2 linked regions of the Oryctolagus cuniculus genome follow. Each later gene encodes a partner of the first gene's protein in a complex. Links are inferred from orthologs where the notes say so. Each region holds a gene or a part of one and is shown on either strand. Other genes may lie near its edges.

The links.
Region 2: the proteins of NUDT21 (region 1) and CPSF7 are in contact, whole or in part, in a crystal structure (PDB 3N9U), measured with the Homo sapiens proteins. The link is inferred for Oryctolagus cuniculus from reciprocal best matches to the Homo sapiens genes NUDT21 and CPSF7. Residues at the interface, in NP_008937.1 of Homo sapiens: Arg68, Asn152, Glu154, Pro156, Tyr158, Tyr160, Pro162, Ala163, His164, Ile165, Thr166, Lys167; in NP_001129512.1 of Homo sapiens: Trp91, Trp92, Thr93, Thr94, Asp95, Gln96, Glu112, Lys114, Phe115, Glu117, Asn118, Arg119, Ala120, Asn121, Gly122, Gln123, Ser124.

Annotation. Positions count from the first base shown.
Region 1 is NC_091449.1:40,190,312-40,192,865, reverse strand, and holds part of NUDT21 (cleavage and polyadenylation specificity factor subunit 5), read left to right. Parts: intron 1-526; coding exon 527-602; intron 603-1,523; coding exon 1,524-1,638; intron 1,639-2,554. UniProt on the Homo sapiens protein: Component of the cleavage factor Im (CFIm) complex that functions as an activator of the pre-mRNA 3'-end cleavage and polyadenylation processing required for the maturation of pre-mRNA into functional mRNAs.
Region 2 is NC_091432.1:10,750,295-10,754,356, reverse strand, and holds the start of CPSF7 (cleavage and polyadenylation specificity factor subunit 7), read right to left. Parts: upstream 2,809-4,062; 5' UTR 2,673-2,808; exon of another isoform or gene 2,557-2,672; intron 2,537-2,556; exon of another isoform or gene 2,391-2,536; intron 2,041-2,390; 5' UTR 1,987-2,040; coding exon 1,933-1,986; intron 1-1,932. Other genes in the region: SDHAF2 (succinate dehydrogenase assembly factor 2, mitochondrial), read left to right, coding at 2,905-2,940.

The sequences.
Region 1 (2,554 bases):
TGACCTACTTGACGTGTAGGTGTCAGGAGCTCAATCACGTGAGCCATCACGGCTGCCTTCCTGCATCTGCAGGGTGCTGAGTTAAGGAGCCAGTGGGTGTGGAATGAACTTAAGCACTCTGATACAATATGGGATGTAGGTGTCTTACTGCTAGGCCTAATGCCTGCTGCCACCCCCAAATCCTGTCCCCTGCCATAATTATGTATTTTGCCTTGAATAATTAACTGGTTCACTACTTATTATTTCACATGGCTTGAAAACATTTATGTTTAGTGCATCTGTTAGGTAGTAGGTCATGGTAATGGGAAGACTAGAAAGTTGTATACTTCTAGCAGTTTTGGGAAGTAAACAGCAAGCTGTGGGATATATGTTAAAATAAAATTGTATTTGGGATATGAGGAACTTGGTCTCAGAAGGGTTGATGGTTGAGCTTACTGTCTGAAATGGGAAAAGTTGATAACGAAAGGCATGGGGGTTTAAGGAATGGTGAGTCTTGAAAACTGATTATTCCCATTTGTTATTTTAGTATCCATATATTCCTGCACATATTACAAAGCCTAAGGAACATAAGAAGTTGTTTCTGGTTCAACTTCAAGAGAAAGGTAGGTTGTGTTTGAAATTACTTGTAGACTAATTTCAAGGTTACTTCTGTGTTTTAAACCACAAGCTTTGAATTTTTGGATTTATTGTAAAAACTAAAAGGACATTCTATGTTTATACAGAATTGCTTGCTTTCTCTTAGCTGTGCCAGTCCTGGTATGGAGGGAAATTAAAATTTAATCATGGCCTAAAATACCACTTCACATGTGAAATAAATTAGTGAAAAATTTAAGAAACTGATTTTTTTTTCATGCCATGTTTAGGACTGTTGCATGTTTTCACAGGTACTTATCCTGTTTCTTGTAATTTTTTTTAAAGATTTATTTATTTGAAAGAGTCACACAGAGAAGGAGAGGCAGAGAGAAAGAGAGAGAAAAAAAAGTCTTCCATCTGCCGGTTCACTCCCCGGTTGGCCGCAATGGCCAGAGCTGCGACAATCTGAAGCCAGGAGCTTCTTCTGGATCACTCACATGGGTGCAGGGGCCCAAGGACTGAACCTTCCTCTGCTGCTCTCTCAGGCCATAGCAGAGATCTATATCGAAAGTAGAACAGCCAGGATTCGAACCGGCACCCATATGGAATGCCGGCACTGCAGGCTTTACCCACCATGCCAGAACGCCAGCCCCCTCCTATAGTTTTATTATGGAATCCAAAATATAAACCCAGGGCTGTTCTCTTCTCTCCTTTCTTCCAGGGCCAACACTTAGAAGGTGCTAGTGGTAATAACATGGATCAGTTAGCTAACTAGTCAGTTTCATATGTCACTAAGAACACTAGCTTTACAGACAACCAAAATGTATTAATGAGAAGTATATTTCTTTACAACTTTTTTTTAGATCAAACTAATGATTAGCTTAAAATGAGACGGAGGTGGTGGTTGTATGTGAAATTGTAGAAAATGAACACTGTTTTGTTTGTTTTAGCCTTGTTTGCAGTCCCTAAAAATTACAAGCTGGTAGCTGCACCATTGTTTGAATTGTATGACAATGCACCAGGATATGGACCCATCATTTCTAGTCTCCCTCAGCTGTTGAGCAGGTATGGAAAGTTGAACATTTTGTGGTTCATCCATATAAGCTGTCAGATTGAAAATATTTTGAGCCACTTGAAAAGGGATACTTTGTGAATTTTGGTTCTTAAGGAAACTAAGATAAGCTAAGACTCTTGGGTCATGTGCAATACATAGATTAAATGTGACTGATTTAGAAGTATCCTCAGACTCTAAGCCATGGCTTGACATTCTATTATTTGTGTTACTGTTCTTCTACATCTGTTATTTTCTACAGTTAAGTTTGAAGTCTATTCAAAGAAGAGATGGTAACGTTATTCACAGCAGTGCGTAAAATATGAAGGGAGTTGTCTATATCAAAATGTGTAGAATTTTTTTTTAATATTTATTTATTTGAAAGGCAGAATTACAGAGATGTAGAGGCAGAGAGAGATCTTCCATCTGCTGTTTCACTTCCCAAATGGCCTCAACAGCTGGAGCTGGGCCAATCCAAAGCCAGGAGCCAGGAGCTTCTTCTGGGTCTCCCACATAGGTGCAGCGGCCCAAGCACTTGGGCCATCTTTCTTCCACTGCTTTCCCAGGCCATAGCAGGGAGCTAGATCAGAATTGGAGTAGCCAGGTCTCGAACAGGTGCCCATATGGGATGCTGGCACTGCAAGCTGTGGCTTTACCCTTTATGCCATGCCACCAGCCCCTAGAATTGAATGCCTTTGTATAATTTGGGCCTAAATTGGGGTGTCTGGGATAGGTCTTGGATTTTATATGGGATTTGAATTTTTAGGCAGATAGAATAATAAAAAATACATATTTTAAAAACTTTATATTTTGGGCTGGCTCCATGGCTCACTTGGCTAATCCTCTGCCTTTGGCGCCGGAATCCCATATGGGCGCCGGGTTCTAGTTCCAGTTGCTCCTCTTCCAGTCCAGCTCTCCGCTGTGGCCTGG
Region 2 (4,062 bases), on another chromosome or scaffold:
TTAAATTAAAGAGAACAAATTGCTAAGATCAATGTCAACCCTAACAGAGCAGTGAATACTGGACAGTATTCACCTATGAGTAATATCGTTTAAAAACTTAAAATCTTACTTCCTCAGACCAAATGTGGCTAGTGATCAAGGACCCTGTTCTGCCTATTTCCCAAAGTCAATCAGTACCACTGTTATCAGTCCATAGATAAGGAATTACACACAGAGAGAAAAGTTTCATTAAAGACAGAAAAGAACTAGAGGGCTTTATTTTCCTGTTATCTTGTAAAGAAAAACAAAAGAACCCACAGGGCCAGCGCTGTGGTGCAGCAGGTTCACAGCCTGTCCTAAAGCACCGGCATCCCACATGGGCACCGGTTCAAGACCTGGCTGCTCCACTTCCAATCCAGCTCTCTGTTACGGCCTGGGAAAGCAGAAGATGGCCCAAGTCCTTGGGCCCCTGCAACCGCATGGGAGAACTGGAAGAAGCTCCTGGCTTCAGATCAAATAGGCGCAACTCCAGCCATTGCAGCCAACTGGGGAGTGAACCATCAGATCATCAGATGGAAGCCCTCTCTCTCTCTCTGTGTAACTCTTTCAAATAAATCTCTAAAAAAAAAAAAAGAAAAAGAAAAAAAAAAAGGAAAAAAACAAAACCCATACAAAGAATTGGTAAAAGTCTGAGTTAAAGGACATCGAAAACTCAGGAAAGCAATGGTCTTGTAACTAAATGAACATTCTAAACTCTTCTCTTTGATCCATAATTATTTGACTTGTCCAAACTTAGAAAAACATCATGTATTTAAGTAGTCATATGTAGATGATGCCAGTTTAACAAGGACGTAGGAAAACAGCTATTAAAAATATACAACATTCTGAGCCGGCGCCGTGGCTCAATAGGCTAATCCTCCACCTAGCGGCGCCGGCACACCGGGTTCTAGTCCTGGTTGGGGCGCCGGATTCTGTCCCGGTTGCCCCTCTTCCAGGCCAGCTCTCTGCTATGGCCAGGGAGTGCAGTGGAGGATGGCCCAGGTGCTTGGGCCCTGCACCCCATGGGAGACCAGGAAAAGCACCTGGCTCCTGGCTCCTGCCATCGGATCAGCGCGGTGCGCCGGCTGCAGCGGCGGCCATTGGAGGGTGATCCAACGGCAAAGGAAGACCTTTCTCTCTCTGTCTCTCTCTCTCACTGTCCACTCTGCCTGTCAAAAAAAAAAAAAAAAAAAAAAAGAAAAATATACAACATTCTCTGGTGAAATGAAAACATAAAGAGACAATCACTTCCAACTTAGGATATGTGAATGGGTCTACATCTGCTTTTTAGCTACTTTGCCCAATGTTCTTTACCCTTTCCTCCCGAGAACAATACACAAAATTTATTACATTAAAATGTCGATGTACTTCTCAAGACCGGAGTCAAGCTACTTATAAAAGACTCAACTCAAAAGCAATTGCAATGGAGCAAAACTGAACGTTAAAGTATCTCAAGTGCAGTGCCTTCGTACCTTCATGCTGGAGAGGACACTTCTCCAGCTAGTCTGCCAGACCAAACAGCTATCAACATTGTTCTCACCAACCCGCAGCAAACATAATTCCGATTTTTAAGTGTGCTAAGTCTTTGAGGAGACTGCCACCCAACTTTTGCTTCCTTGGGGAGCAAGTTCCACAGGTTGATTCACCATTCTATTACAGTTGATTTTTATATGCTCTTAAATCAAACCCTTCAAAATTAAGCCTGAAGGTTCAAATTAACATTAAGCAGAATACTCAGTAACCTTTAAAGTCTCCGCTAGGGGGAAAATTTCGGACTCCAGAGTTGTGTTCAAGACTCGGACTGGCACAGCTTGGCACTGGCACATCGTGAAACCAGTGCGAGTTACTGGAGATGATTCCTCGGCCGATCGAGGAAAAGCCCAAAGCTCCCAAGGACCACCGCCACCCTCTCACCTGGTTGAACTCCTCATCAGCGTATATATCAATCAAGTCCACTCCTTCTGACATGGCTCCGAAGGAAGCTCTCGAGCCCGGAGAATGGACAAAGTAAGAAAGACGCCACTGTGGTAGTCAGAAGAGGGCAACAATTAGAAGGCACGACGGGCCCGGCCCGAGCGCAGGGCGATGGTTGCCCACATCCCGTCTCCAGAGACGCAGCATCCCGGCCGCCCGAGCCCGGCCCCACCCGCCCCGCCCCGCCCCCGGCCTCGCGCCGCCCCCCCGCTCTCCCAGGCCGCCCGGGCTCGCGGGGCGCGCTGCCCATCACCCTCGGGCCCGGCGCGGGGGGCGCCGCGTCGGCGCCGCAGCTGCCGGTGGCGCGACAGGCTAGTCCAGGCCTCGGCTCCCAAGGGCCTTCGGGCAGGGCTGCGAAGAACACGGCGGCGATGCCCGCAGGCCCAGCCTGCCCGCACCTGCCCAGGCCCCGAGGCGACCCCGGCCTCAGCGCCTTTGGGTCCCAGAGCTCCATCCGCCTCCGCCTCTCATCCCGGCCCAATCCTCGCCCCCGGCTAGGCCTGTCCCACTCCCTCCCCACAGACCCGGCCCGGCGCGCTTGGCCCCTCCCTCAAGGACCCGCACCTCCCTCCGCTCGCTGACTCCGGCCGCCCTAAGCTCAACCGACCCCCTCCCCGCCTCAGCGTCGGTCCCGGCCCTTCTTCCGGCCCAGCCGGCCCCCGGCCGCGCGCCCCCGTTACCGGGAATATGGCGGCAGCGGCGGCAGGTCCGGACTAGGCCCGAAGCGCGCGAACCGCTCTCCGCCCCAGGTCCCGCCCCCCCGCCGGCGGCGTCACACGCAGCGCCACTTCCGCCAGACGCAAGGACGCATCTTCCGGCTCAAGTATTCTGCGGCGGCTGAGCTTCGCTAGTCCAGACGTCAGGAGTTCCCGGAAGTAGTCCAGAGGGGACTTCCGGTGCGGGTTGGGAAAAATGGCGGTGGTCCCTGCGTTCCCGGCTTTGGCGCGGGTGAGGAACGCGGAGGTTCCAGGGGCTGGGGCCGGGGCCGGGGGCCAGCAGTATCAGGGACTAAGTTTCGTTTTCTGGGGTCATGGAGACAAGCGGGAGCGTTCAGCTGTCCTGTAGCCCAGGGCAAAGGGAGGCCAAGGAGAGGCCGATCCTGCTGCTGAAGAAATTCAGATCGCTTCCCTGCTTTGGTGAGCCTGCTGTGTGCTCACCTGGTAGTATCTGGCTGAAAAGTCAGTCCGCGAGGGCACCCGTTTCTGTCCTCCTCTGTCCTCTGAGCGCCCTCTCTGCCTGTTTCTTAAGTCCTTTTAAATGCCTACCCTGATTTCACAGTCTCCTCTTTATATTGCTTTTTGATGTAGGCATTTACCACCATAAACTTCACTCTTAGAACTGCTTTTGTTACATCTCATAATTTCTTGTATGTTGGATTTTAGTGTTTGTTTTAAGACGTCTTCTGAGTTCCCTTTTGATTCCATCTTTGGCCCGTTGATTTTTCAAGGAATGTGTTAATACTACGTATTTGTGAATTTTCATTTTTCTTTCTGCTTTTGATTTCGAGTTTTATTCCATTGAGGTTAGAAAAGATCATCTGGTGTGCTTCATTAAGCCTTCTTAAATTTGCTGAGACTTGTTTTGTGATGAAATATGGGATCTATCCTGGAGAATGAACGTATTCTTGAGAGGAATGTGTGTTTTGCTTGTGTTGGGTAGGATGAAGGGTATATATCTGTTAGGTCTTTTGCTCTGTAGTATTGTTAAGTCTTCTATTTCCTTATTGACCTGCTGTTTGGATGTTCTGGCCATTTTTAAAATTACTATATTGCTCTCTGTTTCTTCCTTCAGTTCTGTTTGCTTGTGTATTTGGATGCTCTGATGTGGTTGGGTGCATCTGGTTATAGTTAGACCTTTCTGGACAATTGATTTAGAACATTATATTTGTTTAATGTCTTTTGTGTCATGTGACAATTTTGACTTAAATCTGTTTCGTCTGATGTAAGTATGGTCATCCCTGCTGTGTGGAATTTCATTTCTATTCTTTCAGCCTATGTGTGTCCTTAAATCTCTCTTTTTTTAAAAGATTTATTTTATTTATTTGAAAGAGTTAGAGAGGTAGAGACAGAG